Linked DNA regions of Callithrix jacchus. The protein of the gene in region 3 interacts with the protein of the main gene of each other region in a pairwise test. Links are inferred from orthologs where the notes say so. Each region holds a gene or a part of one and is shown on either strand. Other genes may lie near its edges. The genes, in order: LNX1, BYSL, MRFAP1L1, HTT, PSMA1, TXN2 and C15H3orf62.

What was found.
Region 1: the proteins of MRFAP1L1 (region 3) and LNX1 interact in binary tests that used the Homo sapiens proteins (3 or more experiments, as listed by UniProt). The link is inferred for Callithrix jacchus from reciprocal best matches to the Homo sapiens genes MRFAP1L1 and LNX1.
Region 2: the proteins of MRFAP1L1 (region 3) and BYSL interact in binary tests that used the Homo sapiens proteins (3 or more experiments, as listed by UniProt). The two-hybrid records come from large-scale screens. The link is inferred for Callithrix jacchus from reciprocal best matches to the Homo sapiens genes MRFAP1L1 and BYSL.
Region 4: the proteins of MRFAP1L1 (region 3) and HTT interact in binary tests that used the Homo sapiens proteins (3 or more experiments, as listed by UniProt). The link is inferred for Callithrix jacchus from reciprocal best matches to the Homo sapiens genes MRFAP1L1 and HTT.
Region 5: the proteins of MRFAP1L1 (region 3) and PSMA1 interact in binary tests that used the Homo sapiens proteins (3 or more experiments, as listed by UniProt). The two-hybrid records come from large-scale screens. The link is inferred for Callithrix jacchus from reciprocal best matches to the Homo sapiens genes MRFAP1L1 and PSMA1.
Region 6: the proteins of MRFAP1L1 (region 3) and TXN2 interact in binary tests that used the Homo sapiens proteins (3 or more experiments, as listed by UniProt). The two-hybrid records come from large-scale screens. The link is inferred for Callithrix jacchus from reciprocal best matches to the Homo sapiens genes MRFAP1L1 and TXN2.
Region 7: the proteins of MRFAP1L1 (region 3) and C15H3orf62 interact in binary tests that used the Homo sapiens proteins (3 or more experiments, as listed by UniProt). The two-hybrid records come from large-scale screens. The link is inferred for Callithrix jacchus from reciprocal best matches to the Homo sapiens genes MRFAP1L1 and C3orf62.

What each region holds. Positions count from the first base shown.
Region 1 is NC_133504.1:143,048,487-143,052,563, reverse strand, and holds the start of LNX1 (E3 ubiquitin-protein ligase LNX), read right to left. Parts: upstream 2,801-4,077; 5' UTR 2,497-2,800; intron 1-2,496.
Region 2 is NC_133505.1:50,424,051-50,428,049, reverse strand, and holds the start of BYSL (bystin), read right to left. Parts: upstream 2,801-3,999; 5' UTR 2,741-2,800; coding exon 2,473-2,740; intron 1-2,472. UniProt on the Homo sapiens protein: Required for processing of 20S pre-rRNA precursor and biogenesis of 40S ribosomal subunits. May be required for trophinin-dependent regulation of cell adhesion during implantation of human embryos.
Region 3 is NC_133504.1:186,946,485-186,950,633, forward strand, and holds MRFAP1L1 (MORF4 family-associated protein 1-like 1), read right to left. Parts: upstream 2,663-4,149; 5' UTR 2,414-2,662; coding exon 2,030-2,413; 3' UTR 501-2,029; downstream 1-500.
Region 4 is NC_133504.1:189,945,536-189,949,035, reverse strand, and holds part of HTT (huntingtin), read left to right. Parts: intron 1-693; coding exon 694-832; intron 833-1,866; coding exon 1,867-1,989; intron 1,990-3,500.
Region 5 is NC_133511.1:80,374,564-80,377,910, forward strand, and holds the end of PSMA1 (proteasome subunit alpha type-1), read right to left. Parts: intron 3,063-3,347; coding exon 2,952-3,062; intron 872-2,951; coding exon 815-871; 3' UTR 501-814; downstream 1-500. UniProt on the Homo sapiens protein: Component of the 20S core proteasome complex involved in the proteolytic degradation of most intracellular proteins. This complex plays numerous essential roles within the cell by associating with different regulatory particles.
Region 6 is NC_133502.1:207,432,896-207,437,028, forward strand, and holds the start of TXN2 (thioredoxin, mitochondrial), read right to left. Parts: upstream 2,801-4,133; 5' UTR 2,581-2,800; exon of another isoform or gene 2,577-2,580; intron 2,487-2,576; exon of another isoform or gene 2,337-2,486; intron 1,926-2,336; coding exon 1,675-1,925; intron 1-1,674.
Region 7 is NC_133516.1:31,876,830-31,879,111, forward strand, and holds the end of C15H3orf62 (uncharacterized protein C3orf62 homolog), read right to left. Parts: intron 985-2,282; coding exon 719-984; 3' UTR 501-718; downstream 1-500. UniProt on the Homo sapiens protein: Essential for normal spermatogenesis and male fertility.

The DNA.
Region 1 (4,077 bases), about 44 Mb from region 3:
TAGGATTCCCTTTTGGCATCTCTTCTGTGCCCACCCAGTCTGGGCTAGGTGCCCTCCCCTGGCAGGTTGTGTAGGCTCTCATTGCACTTGTCCACATGGAATTGAAATTTATTGCTTATTTGCTTCCCACAGTGGACTGGGAGTTCCTTGAGGGTAGCAATCAAGATTTAAATCTCTATGTCCCACCCTAGCCAAGCACCTCATACCTCGTAAGCGCTTTGTATCTGTTGTTGAGTAAAATGAATAATGGAGAACCTTGACAAGGACTTGGCAGAGAAGAAAAAGGAGAATTAACTGCCCCAGTAGTGGTTTTTACCCTGGAAATGTTGTTACTACCCTGAGCAGATAGTGAGCAGCTCACATCCATATAGATGAGCAGACCAAGTGGAATAGAATGAATGGCATAAGCCTGACTTCTTTAGGCCTGATGCTGAGGACATGTGCCCTGCCTATACGAAGGAGAAAGCTCTGTTCCCCATCAAAGACAGTGACAACACAGGTACATACACACATGCACAGCGCAGGTCACAGTCTTTAAAAATATTACACGTGGCTGAGCAAAGTAGGCACCTGTGCGGGGTGTGGAGGACATATCGTAGCTCCAGAATTCCAGGAGCCAGCTCAGGGAGGCCCAGAACAAAGCATCAGGGCCTAAGCAGGGTGCGGAGGGCATCTGAATGGGGCAGGGGACACTGGTCATGATGGCAGTTGGTGATATTTGGGGGACCGAACAAATAAACAAATAATATATTAAGGATAATGGGAGCCAGCCTCTGATCAATGTTAATGACGGCAGTTACAAATTCAGAAAGGGAGAAAACTCTGTGGTGTTGGAAGTGTGAATTTATGGTTTTCAATACATATGGATTAATATAGAAATAAATAGATACATAAATAGAGGAGGAAGCTGGGAATCAGAATTAGACCTGTCTAGCTCTTTTCACCATTCTTTACTAAGGCCCTACACATAGGCCCTCTGCTGTGAAACCTCTGCCCCCTTCGCTGTCCCCTAGAACCCCAACTGGAACTCACATAGACTTAGAAGATTCCACCCCCATAGTCTCAGAGCATGCATCACACCACATGGCACTAGTTGCACACAACTAACTCATGAGGTTTTGGTTACATGGAGGGTAGGCCTCCTCTTATCTGTATTCCCTGCATCTCCCTTGGAACCAGGCACATGGCCATCACGATAGTTAGTATTAATATTTACTGTGCACTTATTATGCATCAGCAAAGACTTCACATGCATAATCTCATTTACAGCTGAAGACAACCCTATGAGGGACATATTACCATCATTCCCATTTCACATATTGGCAAGGTGAGGTTAGAGGGGTTAACCGAGGTACGCCAAGATGTAGAGCTAGTGAGAGGTAGAACCAAGAGTCAAGGCCAGACGGTCTAATTCCTCAGACTGTGCTCCTCACCCCTCAGCTCTGCCACCATGGACTAGGTGTAAGTAAATGGTCACTCAACAGATTCCTCCCAGGGACTTGTGTTTCTAAACACTCTCCCTCAATCCAAGTCCACACTTTATGCTGAGCTCGTTTGAAGCTCACCTCTTTAGGGGAGCTCCCCATCCTGGTCTGAACTGCTGCCTCAGTTCTCCTTGGGCACAGGGCTTGCATCGCACCCTGACATATGACCCAGTCAGTGTTGGAGCAGGGAACATAGTTTGTCGACATTTGTTGAACTGAATTCAATGCCCAGGAATGGAAGTAAACAGGGATACATGACAAAGTGGTATATTGTACAGGATACTGTGGTTATCTATTTCTGGATTTTCCAGAAGAGTTCAATTTCTAAAATTCCATCCTCTCATCAGACCATTTGTCAGAATACATGGCCAAGAATGTAGTCTGGAATTTTGTTTAAAGAGTAAGGTCGCCATTCTATAGAAGAGAGGCGGGAGTGGGCACAGGGTGTGCTGCCGGGCACCCCAGCCCGACACACCCGTGGGCAGGTCACAGCTCTCTGAACCTCTTTATCTGTAGGTAAAACTGCAGTGCAATACCTACTCCTACTGCGGAGTGAAATGAAGTCTGTGTGTGATGTGTTTTAAATACTGATGAAGAATAATGTCATGTAAATCCAGTTACTGCTAGTGGGATTCCTCACGGTTTCACTGACCTGTCTGGCAAGTCATTTTCATCTGTGAAAGTAAAGAAGCTTTTAATGAAGACCACTGCAGGAAAATAGGTATAAAGAGAGCAAATGTCCTGAGGTCTTTCTAGTGTTTTGAAAAAGACACCCCTGGATATTTTCCATCTTTTAGACTCTCTTCAATTTGATGCGTGTGTGTGTGTGTGTGTGTGTGTGTGTGTGTGAGAGAGAGAGAGAGAGAGAGAGAGAGAGAGAGAGAGAGAGAGAGAGAGAAAGAGAGAGAGAGAGACAGAGAGAGGGGAGAGTTGGAGGCCGAGTGGGCAGAGGTGGAGTTGTTTTAAAAAACTGCATGAGATTCTAGCTGGTGGAGGGACAAGGCTATCTTACCTTTGCTGTATGAGGTCTCCCAGCTGTGTGAGGTCTCAGGAGATAGTTCTTTTGAGAGCTGAGCTTTTCTGGCTTAGCAGTAGCTCAGAAAACTTTTCTTTCTCTTTCCAGTGTTCTGTGCCCCAGCTGTGTATAAAAACTGCTCCGCCTTTTTCCATGCAGGGGTTAACCAGGGCATCTCCTGCCCCTTCTGCAAGGCTTTGGGTAGAAGAGATCCATAAATCTGACAGCAGCTATGGGGAGATTCAAGGAAGAGCAGTCTCCCGCAGAGCAGCATGCATTACCATCAGTGACAAATCTGTCTGGTTTGGATGGGGCTGAGACACCCCTGAACTTCCTTCTGCTCTTGCCAAAAGTCAAGATCCTTTTGTTCACCTTTAGGGTTGCCAAGTCAGGCCTACCTCTCCCCTAGATGTTGTTTCCTGCGGGCAATGGGAAAATGATCTTGGAGCCAGAGAAGGGAAATCAACAAGGAAATAAACACAGGGTCACCACACCTTCAGGCCATCAGTAGGTCTGGAACATTATCATGCTGGGACCAACTCCTTAATAGGCAGGGGCTGCTGACTGGACAGGCCCTAGAATCCTGGGCATCTTTTATTTTTCAATAAGTAAAGGGGCATGCACCAAAATCAGTATCAGGCAAATAAGTAGTTCTGACTTGTTCTAATACCTTGCCAAAACTTTCAAAGATTTTCCATAGGCAGTATTGCTCATAACTGAACATTGCCTAATGTTTGTAGACAAAAAAAAAGGAATGGGCATGTTTGTGGCTGATACTATTTAAGACTTTTAACTCCAAAGATATAGAATTATTGTTTAAATAAGTATTTCTTCTGCTCATTCTTCAGCATCATCACCATCATCACCATCGTCAGCGGCTGCAACATCTTTGCTAACATTTATTAAGTGCTTACTGTCTACCAGATTCTATAGTAATCACCCGACCTGCATTATTTCATTTAATTCTCAACAGAATCCTATCATTATCACTCCCATTATACAGATAAAGAAACTGAGGATTAGAGAGACTAAGTCATTCCTGCAGAGTGACCCAGCTAATTAAAAATGTAAACATTGTGATTCCAGAAGTGGGCTTTTCTGAGCTTTGCTTTTCCCACCAGTTGACCTAAGCACTAATGTGGGCTGACAGCTCCAGTAAGGACCAAAGATTTTGCTTAAATAAGTGATTAGCTCTGGGTATCAGATTCTAAATAGAAACATAAATAATTAGTGAGTTAAGTAGTCTCCTTCCAGAGATGTGAGTCGAGTCCTTGGTGTTACCTTATGTATATGCATCATGCAAGAAGGACACAGAGAGTTCAGGTACTTGTGGCCCCGTAATCACAGGTGGTGCTACTGGCTGCAGTGCCTTCAGCTCTCCACTGTGACTCTGATTTACAAACAAGGAAGTGCTCTGCAAGTCCCTTGGCCTCTGTGTGCATTTCGGTCATGGCCTGATTGCTACTTTGTCCTTTTGACTTTCAGAGTCAAACTGCTGCAAGTTTCTTTTAATCAATAATCCAGGGAATGAAGGAGGCAAAATGACCAGCCTGGAAACTTCTGCCTGGTGAGATGAAG
Region 2 (3,999 bases), on a different chromosome or scaffold from region 3:
AAGAGAAACTAAAAAACTTTGTTCTTATACAGCTTACATTCTAACTGGAGGAGACAGTCTATGACCATACCACCCTGAACGCACTGATCTCATCTAATTGGAAGAGACAGACATAAATAAATGTATAAATATATTGGGTTAAAAGATAACTATTATGGGCAAGGCGCGATGGCTCATGCCTGTAATCCTAGCACTTTGGGAGGCCAAGGTGGCTGGATCACCTGAGGTCAGTAGTTTGAGACCAGGCTGGCCAACACGGCAAAACCCTATCTCTACTAAAAATACAAAAAAAGAAAAAAAATTTGCTGGGTGTGGTGTTGGGTGCCTGTAATCCCAGATACTTGGGAGGCAGAGGCAGGAGAATTGCTTGAACCTGGGAGGTGGAGGTTGCAGTGAGCCAAGATCTTGCCATTGAATTCCAGCCTGGGCAACTGAGTGAGACTCTGTCTCAAAACAAAACAAAACACAATGATGCCTATATAGATCGAGTGGAATGGGCAAAGGAGAAAGCAGTAGAAGAGGTCAGACTGGCAAGGAGGCAGATGGTATAGGGATTGTAGACCCCCGTACCCCAGCTGTTGAGTGTTCTGAAGAGTACGAGATACAGCAGGGCATGGTAGTTCACACCTGTAATCCCAGCGCTTTGGGAGGCCAAGGCAGGGAGGATCGCCTGAGTTTGAGACCAACCTGGGCAACACTATGGGACCTCATCTCTACAGATAATTAAAGCATTAGCGGCTAGGCGTGGTGGCTTATGCCTGTAATCCCAACACTTTGGGAGGCTGAAGTGGGCAGATCACCTGAGGTCAGGAGTTCAAGACCAGTCTGGCCAACATGGTAAAACCCCATCTCTACTAAAAATACAAAAATTAGCTGGACGGGGTGGCTCACACCTGTAACCTCAACTACTCAGGAGGCTGAGGCAGGAGAATTGCTTGAATCTGGGTGGCAGAGGTTGCAGGGAGCCGAGATCACACCACTCCAGCCTACGTGACAGAGTGACTGTCTAAAAAAAAAGAATTAGGTGGATACATGGTGGCATACACCTGTGGTCCCAGCTCTATGTGGGAGGCTCGGGTGGGAAGATAGCCGGAGCCCAGGAGATTGAGGCTGCGGTGAGCTAAGATTGTGCCACTGCACTCTACCCTGGGAGACAGAGCGAGAGACTCTGTCTAAAAATAAAATAAAAAGGAAAGGAAAGAAAAGAAAAAAAGGAGAATATGAGATACTATCTAGGAGGCTACTGTGATAATCCAGGTGAGTCTGTGATAATCTAATGTGAGAGACTGGTGGCTTGAACAGGATGGTGTTCCAAAGTGGTGAAAAGTGGTCTGATTTTGGATATAACTTGATGGCAGAGTTATCAGAATTTCCTTACAGATCAGATGTGGGGAGGGAGGGAGAGAGAGGAGTCATGTTTATCTTTAGCAAATGAAAGAATATCATGCTACTCACTGAGACAGTGGTGAGAGAAGCAGGTTTGGAGAGAAGGTCAGGATTGGTTTTGTACATGTTAAATTTGAGCTGTTTCAAATTGGAGGTGCCAAATAGGCAGTTGAATATAAGAATCTGGATTTCATGAAAGAGATCAGGGCTAAAATATAAAGTTAGGAGTAGTCACCCAAGAGATGGTATTGAAACCATGAAACCTGACAGCACTAGAGAATATCTGAAGAGAAGAGGTCAGAGGACTGAGGATAAGAGGTTGCAAGTAAGAGTCAGCCAACGATATTGAGAAGTGAGGTGGCAGTGAAACAGCAGTGTTGATGTCTTATAACCCAAGTAAGGATACTGTGGGCAGGAGGCCACTATTCAATTGTGTCAAATATTGCTTTAGATGAGATCTGAGAAGTGGATGAAGCACCTCAGAGGTAAGCACTCCCTCCCTAGTAAGAACCTATCAAACGTCAATTCATTTCTCTCCCTTTTTGTCTGCGAAACGTGTTTTCTGCTCATTACACTTCCCATTCGTTTTTCAGTTCTCAGCTTAAAGGTCCTACAATCGGAGAAGCTTCTCAAGACCAATGCTACTGTCACCAGGGAAACGATATTTTATCATGGAAATATATTATTCTAAGAGTCTACGTAATTGTCTCTCCGCTGGGCTTGACTGTAAGGTCCTTAAATCAGACGTGTCTGTATGTTGTTACTTCTGTACTCAAATATTCGATTGAACTTCGAGCATAGCGCAAAGCTCGTAGTAGGTTTTCCATAAATATTTACAAAACCAATGGATAAATGCTAAGAACACTTAGTGGCGCGAGCGATTACTTCCTATTGGCCTAACTTCGGGGGTGCCTAGAAGGGAGTGCCTAAAACTAGGAGTGGGCGCGGAGGTCTCTGGCCATTGCTTAGTCTCCCATTCCATTACTTTTGCAAGTCCCCTGCCGGACACTTTTTAGCTGTCCTCCCCCCCGCCCCCGGCCCCGCTGCTAGCCATTGTCTTGTTCGGACCTCATCCCAGACACTCACCCAGCCGCGTGGTGCGTTCCTGCGGCGCCGCGGGCTTGTCCCCAGTCCCATGCTCGGCCTCGAGCTCCTCCTGTTGCTGCCGTGCTTGCTGCAAAATCCGTCGGCTCAGCCGAGGCCCCACATACTCTTCCTCCTCTTCTCCGGTGCCACGACCCCGCCGCTTCTCCCGGACCCCTGCCCGCAACGCATTCCCAGCTAGGATCTGCTCAGCCAGGGGCGCATGTTTTTCCTGACCCCCGGCCCCACGGGTGGCCTTGAACTTGGGCATTTTTCTTGAAAATACTGCCGGGAAGGTTCGCACGTGGGGACGACGAAAAGGCCAGAATACACTTGGGTGAACTCCCACCTCCCAAGAGGCCACGCTGCGATCACAGCGCCCTCTAGCTATCGGAGGCCAGAAGCGCTATCAGCACCGCCCCTCCCACTAAAAGAGCTCCTGGGTTCCGGAGCTGGACTCCCAAATACATTTACTTCCTTTAACGTTGGCGTCTCTCAATAGTGCAGTCTAAGTCTCGTTCTTCTAGCTTCATGGATCTAAGCCTAGAGTGCTCAGCCAACCGGGAATTTCCGGAGCTAGAAACATGAGAGCGGGAATCCACTGATTATGTCACTGGAGGCGTCACCGACGGGTGCCAAGACACGCCCCATTCCTTGGGGAAGGCGTGGACCCGGCGCTCTGTTTTTACGTATTTCCGGAATCCCTTCTGCGACCGAAGCCTGTGTTGGGGAACTGAAGCAGTTCCTGTGGGCGGACTGGGAACGACGCATTTCTACTGTGTGATCCTGCCACCTTCCTGTCCCGACACCATGGGAGTGACTTGGTAGGACTGCAGGGGTTTTGTGGGGCGGGATTTGGAGTTGTGAAGGGCCGGGAAGAGGTCCTTGACCATGGCCCGCCGTCCTCTGGGAGCTGAGCGAAATGTCCTCGGGTTATCTGGATAAGAGGATACCGTGCGGGCCGCGGGTTCCCTGGGCCTTTTTCCTCGGAGATGCGCTCTTACCTCTTGGAAGGCGGCAGAGCAAAGGTTTTATACCAGGGACCTATCAATGGTTATGTACCTTCTTCCCTTATGGGTACATCTTCCTTCCCGTGAGGCCATAGTACTGTCTGCACTTGGACCTCAAGGTTGGAAATAGGGACTTTGGATTAGGACCTACCTGCAGACAGGGTTGGAGGGAGTAGGTTAAAAGCGATCAGGAGACAGTATTTTTTTTTTTTTTTTTTGAGATTTTCGCCTACCCTTGTCTCAGCCATCAAATGCAGTTAGACCAGCTGGTGTCTGTTTGTAATTTGCCCATTTTAAGATCTTGGGTCTAGAGGAAAAAAGAGGCTATTGATAAGAAGGAGATCGTGGTTCCAGGCACTCTTTAGGACCTGCTTCTCACTATGTTTAATTCCATGGTTGGTCTAGTTTCAATGGAGTTTTTATCTTTCATATGTTTTAAGTCTCAGTTGGAAGATGAGGTGGCAGGGAAAGGTACAACGCTCGCGGAGGCATTAGTTGTAAGGTACTAGGTCCCAGACAT
Region 3 (4,149 bases):
ATCCACACTCCTTAACTTCCAGCTCACCGGCCATCTCCCCAGTGCTATAACTTGAAAGGCTTCTGCTCACTTTGATCCCTGTGCCTCATATGCCTTCACTCATTTCTACTTTTCAGGCCCAGGTAAGTCACCTGCTCTGAGTTTGCACACTCCCCTATGCAGAGGTGACTCCCTCCTCAGGGCTCCCACAAGACACCCACGCACTCTGTCTGCAGTTCCTTATATTCCGTTTCTGTCCCACACCTTCGCCCCATTCATCTCTTACCTTTACGTGCAGGATATGAAGCACGTCACATTCCCACTGGGTGACTAAACACATGTCTGCTGCTGAAAGGTAGGGGCTGGACCCAGAGGATGGCCGAAAGTTTTTCTCTCCAGAACTGGGTTTCTGTCAGCTCATCTCCATAGCATGTTCCAGAAATAATTCTCCCTCAGTTAAAGGCTTACCAAGAGCCTTTAACTAGAAGCAGTTCAACCCCATTTGATGACAATGAAGAACATCCATTTCAAAAAAATTTATTTATGATTCTTTTGTTAACACACACAGGAGGGGTTTTGGTCATGTGAACGAAAAATTTATTTCTTAAAAAAGGCTTTTGAGGTCTTTGTTTTTCAAGGCAAATTAACACTTTTTATATGTTTGACTTTGACCTCCAATCTGACAGGTCTACTACCCTGATGAACTGGAAGAGACTTTCCAGGCCCTGATAATGTCTTTTCCTTTCTCCAGTCTCTCAAGGCTCTTTGTAGACTGTCTCTTCAGTGCCATTCTCTGAAGCCCCTGTGATGTGTGAGGGTATTACAACAGTCCATACTCACTGCCTTGTCACATAAGGTCAGCTATGCTGTCTAAATCAACTCACCTGACAGATTACACAAGATACATCAGACAATGTGCCACAAAACATAGCTCTCCTCTTTCATCTCACAGAGGAACGAAAGTTCCAAAATATATACAAAACCACTTCCATCTCCAGCTGTCTTCTCGGTCTTCCCAGCTTTATGCAAAGCTGCCTCATTAATACATTCTTCACGAGGCTCAACCAAGTAGTGCAAGGCAGGCCCCTCTAAAGTCGGAAGATTCTGATCCCAGGTCTTGATGTGTTCCAAAAAACAATCAGGTCACAAAGGTAACAGCAAAATACAAGGTCATGCCCAACATTTCAAAAGCAAGTAACAAGAATAAAAGTAACGGCGAAAACAACTTTTGATGAAGCCCCGTTTCTCTTACAACAGTATTTCTCCCACAAAAGTTATCCTTCCAGAACCAAATACATTTGAAGATGTAAACCCATACCGAGCTTATCAATCACTGACCATAAGGGAGACTGTTACATGGGGGTAAAAAACATACAAAAACAAAACAGAGATGACAAGCGGTTTCGGTTTCCTCAATGTGTCAGTTCATCCTTACCAGCTGACTATAGTCCTCAGCTGTGAACCTAAAGCACAATTGGGAGAAATTGACCATGAAAAGTTCCATATCCTGATGTTAAAAATAAATGTTAACCAACCAGAAGAATGCCACTGCTTTGAGACAGGGTCTTCTGACATACCTGCCTCATAGAACAATCTGGAAATTTCAGGTAATGTCCTCTGGCTTTACTCTTTCTCTTTGCCTGCGTTCTCGCCCTGCGTTCCATTTTGCTCTACGGCCTAGGTTTTCTTTGGCTTTCCCCAAACTCCCTTGGTGCCTAGTCAGGTCTACTTCTGGGGACCGCCCTATTAGAATTGACTTTCATGTTTCACAAACCCCAAGTTACTTTTATTTTCCTCTATCAGTGTGGGAGGGAGAGGCCATACAAAAACGGTACACTAACACCTAACAAAACCAGCACGCATTCTTTCCTCTTGACCCCAACTTCGTTCCCAATGCTCAATTTTTGATGCAATAAAAATGGGGGGGGGCGGGGAGTGCAGGCCTAGGATATAACTTTTGACAGGGCGCGGTTTCACACCATGCTTAGGGCGACTACTGAGTTCCATCCGAGCTCCCGCCAGGTTCAGACCTTACCACCGATGTCCTCCTTCAAGAAGACTCACTTCTCTCTATTCGCCAGACGAGCTCGACCAGCATCTCTGCCATCTTCGCGATCTCCTTGGCCTTCTCCTCGGCCTTCTCGCACAACTCCGACACTCTCTCGTCGGCTTCGCCACTCGGGTGCTGCGCCTGGTTGAGGGCGCTCTCCTCCGAGGCCTCCACCTGCGTCTTGATCTGGATGAGCATATTGTCCATCTCCCACAGCTTGCTCCTGGTCCGCAGGTACGCCCGCCCGTGCTCGCGTATAAGAGACGCGATGTCCTCGCGCATCTCGTTGATGACCGGGAGCAGGAACTGCTCGAAATCCTCCTCGGGCTCCAGCACCTCCACCTCCTCTGGCGCTTCCACCTCGTCGATGTCCAGAGGCCGCATCTCCTCCTGCCGCTTCTTTAAGACCGCAGTAGTGACGTTATCCTTACTGGACCCCCCTGGGGACTGCAGATCAGGAGTTACTGCTGGAGTCTAGGCGATCCACACGCTTTGTCCATAGTACTCCCGAATTATCTTTAAATTTTTTCTTCCTTTTAATTGTAAGCCTTTCGCTTCGGAACTCTATCGGAAGAATCACCGTGGACGGACACAGCGCAGCGACCAACAAAATGGAGACGCAGCCGTCAACTCGCCCTCCGCCTGTTTGCGGCCCTTTCACGACAGGGCCGGGCCCCTTTACGGTCACGCCTGTGGCAAGACCAGGTAGCGGGCGCGCGCGGCCCATTCGCCACCTGTTTCCCGGCGCTCCGCTCGGCTCTCTTCTCTAAAAATTAGGTCGGTGGCGGCAGGTTTGTTCGCGTCTTCCTCGGAAAGCTCTCTTTAGAGGGCTTTTACTTTTATTATTTTTTTTAAGTAAAAGCGACCCTCCCCATCCCTATATTTGAATAAGACGGGCTGGCGTTCACAGCGCTTACTCTCTAAACATGCACAAGCTTGGAATAATTTATATGAAATTCACTTAGCGCTCACAACGAACCTATAAGAGAGGTAAAAACCAGGCCAGAGTCATGATTTGAGCCCAAAGCAATGTGTGTCCACAGTGTGCTCACTGTTCCAGAACGGAGCAGGTCCCTTGTTCTCCCCACCCCTGGCTCATGCTTTTTTTCTCGGGGGGTAGGGAGTGGATTTCTCTCTCTGCCTTGGGTGGTTCTGGCCTGTGGTTTTTAGTCGCTCTTCAGCAGTCTGTAAGGTTTTCAAGGTAAAGGGCCACTTCTGTTTCAGTTCTGTCCTCCGCCCTTCCTATCAGCCTGGCGTCAAGCAGGGCCTTAGGGGATGCTTTAGAGACAGGAATTCTTCTCTAGTACCTCAGTGCCTCTGCCAGACTGGAGGCTGTTTGGGGATGGGTTCTGGTCTTGCTCACCCTTATGTACCTACCACACACAGGACCTGAAAGTCAGCAGGGGCCTAGTAAATGTGGCTTTGATCACCAACCTGATGCCTTTGTGGAATAGAGGAGTCTATTGCGAGGCTTAGTCACCCAGTGCCACACTAGTAGTGATACGAGTGTGTGTAGAGGGGGGAATCCTTCTTGCACAAGTGCCATAGATGAGAGCTTCAGTTTTCCAGTCTCATAAAGACCAATGGCCCCAGCCTGAATATCTGTCAGTGGGAAGAGGCATTTGTAAGATGATGTGTGTGAAACAGTTTTGCAACCACCAATGTTCTAGCAGATGTTCATCAAAAGAACATTAAGAGAAAAAGAGCAGGACACTGAAAAAAAGGATATTTTCAATAGCTCTATCTGGCAAAGGACTCATGCAGAATATATCGAGAACTCCTAGAGATCAACAAGAAAAAAAATTTTTTTTAATGGACAAAAGACAAAAGCTGGCACTTAGCAAAAGAGAATATCCAAATGGCCAATATGTATGTGAAAACGTGCTCAACGTCACGATTCAGCAGAGAAATGAAAATTAAAACCGCAATGAGGAAGCACTGTCCATCCACTAGAATGACTCAAATTTAAAATGCTGACAATACCAAGCATTGGGGAAGATGCTGAACAAACGGAACTCTCATGCATTCTTGATGGATGTCTTACTCCACTCTGGGCACCACAACTAAGCACCAGAGGCTGCGTGGCTTAAACACAGACATTTATCTTCTCACAGTTCTGG
Region 4 (3,500 bases), about 3.0 Mb from region 3:
CACACACACAGATAATTATGCTTTGATTTCAGTCTTAAGAGTACCTTGATGGTATTTGTAAATGGGATTGGGCACAGTTTGGCGGACAGTCAGTTTGGGATGATATTTCAGTCTGTAGGGCCAAGCTATTTTACAATTTGCATTTTGAAGTTGTCACTCTCCTAGCAGATGGTGGGAGATAAACTATTACTTCTTAACCTCAGACTTAGTCTTCGGTCCAGATGAGGAAGATTAAAAGATTATAAATATCTTGCACCAGATGAGGTGATTTTATCTTGAAATGACCATAAATTCGTATCAGTTGTTTCACCGGGATATTTGTGGTGGAGTTTGTACACTTGAGTTTTAGGATAGATGATCTGTTTTACATTTATTAAGAATGCCTTTATACCACGTATTGCCTGTTGCAATGTTTTGAGTATATTCCAGAAGTGAAATTTCTGGGAAATAATAATAGAATACAAACTGTGACTTGAAAGTCAACTAGGGCCTGCATTTGTATCATGATCTGTTTGAGTGTTGGTGAGAAAACAGCTGTAAAGAAAAAGTTTTAAACAAGTTGCGTTTTCCTTTAAGAAGCCACTAAGCGTGAGTCCTTTTAGTGTATATTTCTAGACTCCTAGTTTGCGGAGTTTAGACTAAGACTAAAAAAAAAAAAATTGTGTTGTAACTTCATTTTTGTTTGTATTTTAGACACCAAAGGCTCTATTCCCTGCTGGACAGGTTTCGTCTCTCCACCCTGCAAGACTCACTCAGTCCCTCTCCTCCAGTCTCTTCCCACCCGCTGGACGGGGATGGGCACGTGTCACTGGAAACAGTGAGTCCAGACAAAGTAAGTGTCCAGCCTGTCTGCATGGGAGGTACAGGGCACATGCAGGGTGGTGCTGAGTGCCACTGTCACCTCTAGCAGATAGAGAGTGTGCAGAGGAGGTACAGTGAACCCAAGGAGTCTGGGGCTCGGCCCGAGCCAGCTTTGGTTAGAGATGTGGGGCACCACTAAGGTCCTAGGATGTGGGACCCATATGTTAGGAGTATGGGGCCCAGTAGTTAGTGGGTGAATCAAGGGAAGGTTGGCCAGGGCCTGCAGGATTCTGACTGCACAGGCCTTCAAGCACCTGTCAGTGCGTTTAGCCTGCCTCCATTTCCTTACGCCTTCTGGCCTCCTGTCAGTTGCACCACCACTGCCAGCCATTCTGGCATGTTGTCAGCACCTCCACTGCTCACACTCAGGGTTACTTAGGGACTGCCTGGAGCCTTGGTAGAGCCTTGGTACTCTACTTTCCTGGAGAGAGTTCAGCTTATGAATGTGAATTTAGATTTCAAAAACCCGCAGCCCAAGTATAGGAAAGCGAATGTTCAGTCCTGCCTTCTTAGGCTTTGTTGCACCTGCCCTGCCCTGGTTGCTGGGGAGAGACGAGCAAAGCAAAGCCCAGGGAGGATGTAAAGGGGCTGCTAACCCTTAGTGCTTTAGCTGTATTTGGAAGGACTGTTGGAAGTTCACGAGGTGACAGGGAGACTGCAAGGGTGCTCAGGCAGGTAACGGAAGTCCAAAGGTGGTGTGGGTAACGGAAGTCCAAAGGTGGTATGGCTCCCCACATAAAGCTGTATTTGGAAGGACTGTTGGAAGTTCACGAGGTGACAGGGAGACTGCAAGGGTGCTCAGGCAGGTAACGGAAGTCCAAAGGTGGTATGGCTCCCCACACCTGTGGTGTGGGGACCCATAGGGCCACAGCATGCTGGCTGTTGTCCCTCTTGGTTAGCCCAGTGCAGTGTTCCCAAGCACTGGCCTAGGCCCGTAGCTCCAGGAATGTGAAGACCCCTTGAATGCCGCCCATCATGTTCCCTGTATCCATTTTTTCTTCTCAGGACTGGTACATCCATCTTGTCAAATCCCAGTGTTGGACCAGGTCAGACTCTGCACTGCTGGAAGGTGCAGAGTTGGTGAATCGGATTCCTGCTGAAGATATGAGTGCCTTCATGATGAACTCGGTACGGGGGGGAGCAGCGGAGGCAAGGAATCCTCAACTTTTACTTGTGACTTCCAAGTGGGATTTGTCTCATCATCATGACCCACTTGTTGACAACACCTGCTGGGGACTCCACTCTGGCTATGGACAGGAGGCTGGGGAGACTCCTGTCTGAATGGGGCTGGGAAGTGGGGAGGACTCGATTTCAGATGGGGCTGGGACGTGGGGGATATGCTGATCCAGATAGGAAAGCACATTATTTCAGCCATGTTAGAATCCAAGAAGGCAAGTTGATTTCACTCAACCTTTCATGCATTTAAAGAAAATGTAGATGGTGGCCAGGTGTGGTGGCTTATGCCTGTAATCTCAGCACTTTGGGAGTCCAAGGCGGGCGGATCACCTGAGGTCAGGAGTTCGAAACCAGCCTGACCAACATGGAGAAACTCCATCTCTACTAAAAATACAAAAATTAGCTGGGCATGGTGGTGCATGCCTGTAATCCCAGCTACTCGGGAGGCTGAGGCAGGAGAATTGCTTGAACCCAGGAGGCAGAGGTTGCGGTGAGCCGAGATTGTGCCACTGCACTCCAGCCTGGGCAACAAAAGCGAAACTCCGTCTCAGAAAAAAAAAAAAAGGAGGTGATCTTGTATTATAGTCAGTTTGCTTCTTTGTTCTCATGGCAGTGAGGAAGGGTTTTGGATTGTTGTCTGAGGTCGAGAATATGAGGGAATGAAGTGTGGCCCTGGGCACTCCGATTGGCATCTGTGGTGGGGAATATGAGCGGCAGGGGAGCAGGGTAGAAACTGGATGGCAATTGGAAGCAGGCAACTGTGGAATTTGAAACAAGTTGATGGGAACCCTCTCTCAAGAGGAGGTACTGTTTTGAAATTCAGCTGGCCCCAAGGCTGGGTGTATGGTTTAGGATGAGAACTATTTGGCCTCCACCAGAGGAACAAACACGGGATTTTATCACCTACACTCATTGGCCAACACAGAATGGAAGTCAAGGTTGCATATTTGCCATAGACTTTGACACAACATCATGCATGCCTTCAATAGCATGTTTATTCTGGAAGTTAAAGGAGACTCTTGGATGCAGTGAGATTTCCTCTACCCATACCTCTGTTAGATGTAGTGAGGTTCTTCACCTCCCAATCCCAGATGTCAGAGGGCACCCTGTGCAGAGCCAGCCCAGGAGGCCTTGGTGTCCCTGTACTCCAAGCCCATGGACAGGTCCTGTGAGCAGCAGGGGCCTGCCTCTTGCGTGTGGTGCAGCTGTGGCCCGAGCAGGGTTTCCTCTCGGACCTGCTGGGACGGGAGAAACTTCCTGGTGTGTTAGCCCTGCGTCGATAAGCAGCAAATGGGAGGGAAGTGGGCACCTGGGAGGGCAAAGGCATGTAGAGCTGGGGGTGGCTGCAGGTGTTCATGAAAAGACCTTTCAGGGAACGCAGCACAACAGGGTGTTCTGACGCATTGAAGAGCTATACTGAAAACAGGAGAACTCGCCCAAAATTGGTTTGCTAAAATCGTTTA
Region 5 (3,347 bases), on a different chromosome or scaffold from region 3:
CCTTTAATTTCATTTTGCATGGTTCAAGATAAAAATTGTTCTGCAACACCTGAGTATACCACTCATGGGAATAAAAGAAGGCAGCTTAAAATCATGCTGGAGTGGGACTGGAGCGGATAAAAGGTTTGGGATTCAAATTTCCCAAGTGTTATTTTTGCAGAAGTTCCCTACAAAGACCAGAGCTACAACTACTGCCATCTGCTGGTTGGAAAGAAAACCATTCATATGATAACTGATGTTTATGTCAGGAAGTGGTGGTTTCTTAGGTTTTAATTAGAATCACCACGGTTGAACCCTGAAACTTATATTCTAAACCAAATCTCCACAGATTCTTAGGAAGCCAATCCATACACTGGAGAATTGTTATAAGGCTATGATAGATAAGAGGTATTATTTTTCTCCATCACTAAAAATAAGGCAATTTAATTTGGCAAATGATCAGTTGTAATCCCATACCACTATATATAGTTGAAGGTACTTGAAAAAACAAAAACCCAATATACCAGGGCGGTGAAACAATTTTATTTCAAAGTTGTGTTTAAAACCACAAAGACACCTATTTTCTTCATATAAAAACATTAGTACAGATACCCATACTTTCTAGAAAATGATTATACAGACCCTTTCAAAGACAAATGTATTCCACTGTATGGTTTCAGTGAGGTTGCTAGGAAAAACTCACATCTGGACTGATACCTAAAACATAGCATTCCACTAGTCTGCAACTTTTGGTTCAAAGTATAATTACTGTCATCAGTATGTGGTGCCTGTATTCTTACATATTTGATAATATATATATAGACTGGCTTATCACTTAATGTTCCATTGGTTCATCAGCCTTTTCTGCAGGTTCATCAGCAGGTTGAGCAGGCTTAACAGGGAAAGAAAAAAGAATACATGTAAAATGAACACCTGATCAATATATACATCTAATCACAAATATTACATTATAAAAAATGGAGAAAAAGAGGTAAAGAGATATTCTGAATACTCAGTTTTAGTTCACTGTCCCATTAACATTTCTGAGCAGTTTTTTTTTTCTCCTTGAGTACTCATGATTTGAGGTGAATATTTTTTTATTAAAAAAAAATACAGTTAGCCCTTGAACAACACAGGTTTAAACAGTGAGGGTCCACTGGCATGTAGATTTTTTTTCTTTTTTGTTTGCTTTTATTCTAACATTGTTTAGGGTGAAGTTTTTTTTTTCCCCCAATAAATATAAACTAGCAGACCAACTGTGTAGCCTAGAAATAAAAAATAAATAAGAAAAAGGTATGCCATGAATGCATAAAATATATGTAGAAACTAGTCTATTTGGTCGGATGCAGCGGTTCACATCTGCAATCCCAACACTCTGGGATGCCGAGGCAGGAGGATTACTTGAGCCCAGGAATTTGAAAACAGCCTGGGCAACACAGTGAGATCCCATCTCTACTAAATACAAAAAAAAAATTAGCTGGGCATGGTGGCACGCACCTGTAGTCTCAGTTACTTGGTGGCGAGGGGGGTGGAGGGAGGTGAGATGGGAGAATCACTTGAGCCCAGGAATTCGACCTTGCAGTGAGCTATGATGGCACCACTGCACCCCAGCATGGACAAGAGGGCAAGACCTTGTCTTAAAAAAGAACAAAAAAGAAACTAATCTATATGTGTTAACTGCCTGTTTATGTTATTGGTAAGCCTTCCAGTCGACAGCAGGCTATCAGAAGATTTTGGGAGTCAAAAGTTATATGTGGATTTTCTACTGTGATGGGGTTTGCTACTACTATTCCTCACACTGTTCAAAGGTAACTGTATATATCATTTCGCAGTTCTGAAAACCTAAACAGCATTGAACAATTCTACCATTTTATTGTACTTTGTATTGCTCAGGAGTAAAAACTTTCCTTATATTATCACTACTATGCTTAAAATACAATCAGCACTTTTTAGACATTCTTTACCCCTTTACTAAACTCTGTGTTATTTCACAGCATGCTTCCCAACAGTGCTACTTTTTTACCAAAAACAGTTTAAATACTACAAATCTTGCTCCCCCAAACAGTACCAACAATATCCTTTTCAAGTTGGAAAAAACACATGCTATAGAAATTTCCATACTAGATTCTTTTTTACTTTCAATTACACAGGTATCAAATAAGCATCTATAAATAGCAAATATGTATTCTAAACATCCAGCAAAAAGACCCATATTTAACCTGAGATTCATTTCTTGATGCTTTTCTCTTTATGAAGAGCCATCTTAGTGTCCAAAGCTGGCCCCCAGTGAATATTTCTCCCAGTCTCCGCTCAGACAGAATCTGGGTCCGGCCAGTGACACAGTTTAACAAACAGAATGTGTACAGGTGATGATGTGCCAGTCCTGTGTCTCAGCCTTAAGAATGTCTGGCAACTTTCACTTCTGACTTTTGCAAGCCCTGAGTTGCCAACATACTAGAGAGACCCTGCTGAAGAAGCGGCCCTGAGACTACATGGACAGAGGCTCAGTCATCCTAGAAGAGGTCCCTGCCTTCTAGATGCTCCTCTAAGACACCTAGAAGGTGTGAGTAAAGAAGACATGGGACTAAAGTTATCTTGGGTCTTCCAGTTGCACCCTACAAATGACTGCAATTGAGAGATCCCAGGTTAAACCAGCAAAGAACCCTGCAGCTAAGTCCTAGTCAGCCGCAAAATTATGAGAAGTAGTGTTTGTTGTTCTAAGCCCCTAAGTTTTGGGGTAGCTTATTAACTAGCAATAGATAACCAAATAATCAATGCTTCTCCCTTTCTGTGTTTATGGATATCATTGTCCCCTCAATATTTAACTTTACTCAGTTCTTAATTTCCCAATTGCTATTTGAATTATGGGCCCATTTCAATATTTATGACAAAATGGAAAATTTACAAACACAGTTGTGGTAATAACGGAATCTTACAATAGAACTAAAGCCTCTTGTGTTATGATTATATACCTGTGCCTTTCTCTGTGGCCTTTCTTCAAGACCTTCCAGGAATGGAGATACATCATCATCATCATAGATTGTAAACTCCAAGTCTTTACCAACAATTCCAATGGAAACATTCTGAGGGATAAAAAATCATAAAAATAAAATAATTAAGAGAAAAAATATATATGATAAAATATTGAGTGAACAAAGCAGAATAAGAATTTATTATAGCACTTGAATAAAACTTTAAAAACTACTTATGTGTAGGGGAAAAAAGAAACTAGCAGACCCTTGTCATTAGCAGATTTAATATTAATACTCACTTTTGATTATCATGAGTAACTCCAAAGATCTATGTTATCAAGAAACATTTTTTTAAAAAGATTATGCAGGCGGCCGGGCGTGGTGGCTCACACCTGT
Region 6 (4,133 bases), on a different chromosome or scaffold from region 3:
GGAGGTTGTGGTGAGCTGATCGTGCAACTGAATTCCAGCCTGGGCAACAGAGTAAGAATCTGTCTCAAAAGAAAAAAGAAAAATACCCCTCAGGCCTGGTGCAGTGGTTCATGCCTATAATCCCAGCACTCTGGGAGGCCAAGATGGGAGGACTGCTTGAGATCAAGAGGTAGGGACTGCAGTAAGCCTTGATTGTACCATTGCACTCTACACTCTAGCCAGGGTGACAAAGTGAGACCTTGTCTCAAAAAATAAAATAAAATAAAAACAACTCGTAACACCTAAAAACCCTTTGTGCAAGAACTTAACTCCTATTATAAGTGAAGAAAGGGTAGACAAGAATATCAAGTGGCCTGCCCAAGGCCACAGGGTGAGTCAGAGAAAGAACTGGAAAGATGGCAAAAGAATCTGTCAGATACCTGCCCAGAAGGCCCTTTCATATCTTTTTTTTTTCCCTGAGATCGAGTTCCGCTTTTTTGACAGGCTAGAGTGCAACGGCACGATCTCGGCTCACTGCAACCTCCACTTCCTGGGTTCAAGCAATTCTCCTGCCTCAGCCTCCAGGTATCTGGGATTACAGATGCCTGCCACCATACCTGGCTAATTTTTGCATTTTTAGTAGAGACAGAGTTTCATTATGTCGGCTAAGCAGGTCTCGAACTCCTGACCGCAGGTGATCCGCCTGCCTTGGCCTCCCAAAGTGCTGGGATTACAGGTGTGAGCCACTGCGACCGACCTGAAGGCCCCTGATTTTGTAACTTATGCTTCACTGGTTCCTCTCCCAGGATGCCTCATTCAGAGAGCTTTGTCCAGCTTTTGTGTAGTTAGGTGTCTAGCCAGGCCCCAAAGGTCTAGAAATGAAAAAAGCCAGGCTAAAAATCAGAAGGGCAGAGGGACTTAATATTTCTCTCTAAAACAAACTCAGCACTGAAAGAAAACGCCTTCCTATGCCCTGCATGCTTGGGCACCACAGCAGTGATATTGATTTTTTTTTTTTTTTTTTTGAGACAGAGTTTTGCTCTTTTTGTCCAGGCTAGAGTGCAATGGCATGATCTCGGCTCACTGCAACTTCCACCTCCTGGGTTCAAGTGATTCTCCTGTCTCAGCCTCCCAGGTAGCTGGGATTACAGGTGCACGCCACCACCCCTGGCTACTTTTCTATTTTTAGTAGACAGGGTTTGGTTATCAGGTTGGTCTCAAACACCTGATCTCAAATGATCCACCCACCTCAGCCTACCAAAGTGCTGGGATCACAGGCATGAGCCAACATGCCAGGCCAACACTGATAACTTTTTGCTAGCCCTTCCCACAGATTTCATGGCAAGATGTTAAAATCAACTTATCTGCAGGGCCAGGAACTGGTATACACCAAAAGCAAGATGACACTACAGTTGTATTTTTCCAACTCTGGTCCATGCAGATGATGCTGAGCTTTCTGGGCAATGAGAACACAATATGTGTTTCCCAGCACTAACCACAGTCAGCTTTGCAGACTGTTCACTCATCTGTCTTCTACCAGACTGCACTCTCCTTGAGGGCAGGGACTGGGTCTGACCAGTCTTTGTAATGAGTCTACACATGAGCAGCATCAAATATGGTCCTGGGATGTAGCAGGTGTTCAATAAACAGCTGAACATGTAGGACCCTAGTCTTCCATGGACCCCCAGTACTCACTGTGCATGGAAATCCACAACCACTGGCGTTTCACTGTTGACCACTCGGTCTTGAAAGTCAGGTCCATCCTGGATATTAAAGGTCGTCAAGGAGATCCTGGTGGTGTATATTGTCCGGGCTGGGTTGGGTGTTACAGTCAGGCCACGAGGGGTCTGCAGAGCTTGGGAAGTGAGGGGTGGCCCCCAACCCTGAGAGAACTTCCTGGAGACGACCGAGGCCAGGAACCTCCTCAGGAGAAGTCGCTGAGCCATCTGTGAGGGAAAGAGGCGGAAGAACTGGGGTACACAAAAAGGAAGGCAACACACTAGAAAAAGAAAGGGATTTGGGGAGTACTTGGGGTTCAAGAAGAGGCAGAGTTGGAAGCAAAATGCAAGGAAATAATATGTAAGATTTGTAGTGTAGAAGTGATGAAGCAATGAGAATCAAAGGGAAGGAATAGCCAGGCAAATCAGGAGGACAGGAAAACTGGCTTCACAACCAAGAAGAAATCAGGATTTAGATTATAACAGAAGAATGAGAGGAATAAACCAATATTTATGGTGCACCTGCTAAGGGCCAAGTGCCTTACATGCATTATTGATCTTCCTACTATTGCACTGCCCATATCAAAAATAAGGAAAGGAATTCGAGGTTAAGCAAGTTAAGTGACAAGCCCAAAGTACCCCCGCTATTAAGTGACAGCCAGCATTGGAACCTAGGGTCGTCCGCCAAGTCCTCACTCCAACTATTGCTCTTTGAAAACGTGTTTTAATGGGAGATTAGGAGGATAAAATGATTGGGAAAGATGACACGTAACAATTCAAGGAGGAACTGAGTGTGAGAGGAACCAAAAACGAAGAGACATGTACTGGAAGGAACAATCAAAAAGGGACACGTGTGGAGGGAAATGGGTAAAAACGGACCTACCAGGGACCCCCGCTCTCCGGCGAGCCAGGTCCCTCCGCCCGGGGCCTCCACCCACCCGGGGCCTCCGCCCGCTTAGCCGTCAACCTGCGCAGGAACGCGCTAGCAGCGTGCCACAGCATCGACACCACCTGGGGCCACCCCCACAGCACTCCTACCTCCCTGCACCGCCAGCGGAGGGATGCAGAATCCAGCCCTCCCAGTCAAGGGCACTCCTGTCGTCACTTCCTCAGAGGACAGGCCTAGCGTCACTTCCGGGGGCAGACAAGCGGAAAAGCATCGGTCTCCAATTTGGGGGTCTACGATTTTCCGCCAAAAGGGATGGCGGGAGGAGTCACAGCCGAAGGGGCGGGGCCTCAGTTAGGGACCGGAAGCAATGAAGAGGCCGTCGGGGTAGGGATTGGAAGAAGCGGGCCGACCCTGGTCTGGGCAGATGGAGGGTTGCGGGGGAGGAACCGGAAAAGGTGGGCGGGCCCTAGAGGAAGGACCGGAAGAGGAGGTGATGGAGCGGGGGCGGGGTGTGTAGCAAGGGAAAATACTTAAGGGAGAAAAGGCGGTTGAGAGGTCCCCGTAGTTTTGGATTTTGCCAACTTATTTTGCTTTATTTTATTTATTTATTTATGAATGACAGCGTGTCGCTCTGTCGCCCAGGCTGGGAGTGGTGGTAGCAAGGCAGGGTACTTAAGGGAGAAAGGCGGTTGAGAGGTCCCCTGGTTTTGGATTTTGCCAATTCCTGTTGCTTTATTTTATTTTTATTTATTTATTTATGAATGACAGAGTTTCGCTGAGTCGCCCAAGCTGGAGTGCAATGGTGCGATGTTGGCTCACTGCAACCTCCAACTCCCGGGTTCAGGCGATTCTCCTGCCTCAGCCTCCCAAGTAGCTGGGATTACAGGCACGTGCCACCACAACCGGCTAATTTTGTATTTTTGGTAGGATGGAGTTTCTCTATGTCGGCCAGGCTGGTCTCGAACTCCTGAGCTCAAGTGATCCGCCCCCTTTGGCCTCCCAAAGTGCTGGGATTACAGGCTTGAGCCACACTGCACCCATCCTATTTTAAGTTTTCACTAGCAGCCTCACCTGTTCCTGGAATTTGTAATACAAAGAACAATTTTCAACCAATCAATAGCTTAACATAAATTCTTTCTCATTCAGGTAACCTTGCATATGAAAGAAAAAAAAAATTCTTCTTGCTCTGTCGTCAGGCTGGAGTGCAGTGGCCTGATTTTGGCTCACTGCAACCTCTGCCTCCCAGTTCAAGCGATTTCCCTGCTTCAGCCTCCTGAGTAGCTGGGACTACAGGCACGCACCAATACGCTCAGCTAATTTTTTGCATTTTAGTAGAGACGGGGTTTCACCATGCTGGCCAGGATAGACTTAAACAGATATCATCTCTGGTGACCCTTTCCTGGCCTTCTCTGTGCATCCATCGTTGACCAGACGATATTCTGTATTATTGGAACTGCCTTTGCAAAATGATGAAGTAGGCTGGGTGCAGTGGCTCACACCTGTAATCCCAGCACTTTGGGATGTTAGATATAGTGAACTCCAATTTT
Region 7 (2,282 bases), on a different chromosome or scaffold from region 3:
GCCTCAAGTGATCCCCCCAGCCTCAGCCCTCTAAGTAGCTGGGACTACAGGCATGAACCACCATGCCCAGTTAAATTATTATTATTTTTTAGATGGAGTCTTGCCTCTGTCACCCAGGCTGGAGTGTGGTGGCGCAATCTTGGCTCACTGCAACCTCTGCCTCCTGGGTTCAAGCAATTCTCCTGCCTCAGCCTCCTGAGTAGCTGGGACCTATAAGGTGCATGCCACCACTCCTGGCTAATTTTTGTATTTTTAGTGGAGATGGGATTTCGCCATGTTGGCCAGGCCCTAGGTCTGGAACTCCTGACCTCAAGTGATCCATCTGCCTTGGCCTCCCAAAGTGCTGGGATTATAGGCGTGAGCCACTGTACCTGGCCACTCCTGTATTTTTTAGGGGCCCATGGAAAAGAACACCAAGAGACACAGCAGAGGCCCACGACCCATACCTACCTTGGATACTGGGTATACTGAACATGAATCAAAAAAACACATTCAAGATGTCAAGTAAAAAAATAATAATAATAGGAAACACTTCAAAGCAATAGAATTCAAAAAACTAGTCTCACAGCTTAAAAAGGGACACAACTGGGAGTTAAACATGGTCTGGTAATTCAGGTTCTGCCAACTTTTTTAGAAATGTGGCCCCTGATGGCCACTGTGGCTGCTTCTGCTCAGGCTCAAGGGCTACCTCCTGCTGTAAGGCTTAGATCAACTGTCCTTACTCAATTTGATATTTAAAAGAGGTCATCACATTGTAGTCCTCTTCCAAGTCCAGAACAGTCTCAATGATATTATGATCATCAAAAGCCTGTTTGAGGCTGCCAGGGTCAGTATCTGAGGCCTTCTGAGGACTCTTGTTCAGGAGCAGGGCCCAGGCTTCCTTCCTGAAGGGTGAATCTTGACAATGACCACACACGTGGTTTAATTCATTTTCAAATTCTATTTTTCCAGCCAATTCTTCAATAGTTCGGATGCTTGTATGGTCTTAAAAATAAGAACATTTAGCTTTACAATTCCAGTGGAAGGTTTCTGAAGACATTTCAGGTACAAGTTAAAAACCATTAATGGGTTGTCATTCTTCAGGGATTGTGGAAAAGCAGACATTTCTGCCCCAGGGCAGGTAAGCTGCTGGACTGCCAAATTAAGGTAGGTTTGGTATCCTCCTTTCAGGCCCAAGCATTTATTGAGTTCCAACTATATGCCACTCCCCAAGAAAGGTATAAATGGGAGGATACCGAAATGTACCTGGTTGGCCAGGTGCGGTGACTCACACCTGTAATCCTAGCACTTTGGGAGGCTGAGGAAGGCGGATCATGAGGTCAGGAGATCGAGACCATCCTGGCGAACATGGTGAAACCTGTCTCTACTAATGCAAAAAACTAGCCGGGCATGGTGAGTAGTCCCAGCTACTCAGGAGGCTGAGGCAGGGTAATCACTTGAAACTTGGAGGCTGAGGTTGCAGTGAGCTGAGATCGCACCACTGTACTCCAGCCTGGAGACAGAGCGAGAATCCAAACCAAAAAAAAGAAAAAGAAATGTACATTGTTGTCCTGGTTCTCAGGGATGACAAAACACAATGTGAAAAAAAAAACAAGGTCTTTAGGGTAACAAAAATGTTCCTAGCCAGGAGTGGTGGTGTGTACATGCAGTCCCAGCAACTTGGGAGGCTGAGGTAGAATAATCACTTGCAGCCAGGAGTTTTGAGACCAGACTAGGCAACAGAGTGAGACCCTGTCTCAAAAAAAAAAAAAAAGAAAAGAAAAGAAAAGAAAATGCTCCCTGATGTTGGTGAAGGCCAAGGAAGATGGTGGGTAGAGGCAGTAATGATTTCAGTTCACCTCCTCGGGCTATTGGAGCAGGCCACTGAAGTCACAGGCTGGCAGGGGTTTTACTTTGTGGCCCAGGATGAGTACCTATCCTCTCCAGGCCTTCTTTTTCTCCCTCATAACCTGGAGACCTTTCAGAAACAACAGCTTCAGGCAGCACCCAAGGCTATTCAGCCCTTTACTAGGAGCTGTTTGTCTACTATGTAGTATGAGTTGTTTAAAAACAGGGCACACTGGCATGGTAAGCCTGTAAAAACAGGGCACATTGGTTGGTATGCCCCAGCACTTTGAGAGGCTGAGGCAGGAGGATCACTTGAGACCAGGAGTTCAAGACCAGCCTGGGTAACAAAGCAAGACCTTGTCTCTATTTATAAAAAATACTACTACTAATAATAAAAAGACAAAATAAATAAAAAATAGAGCACATGTAGTTCACATATAGAACATACAGATTTC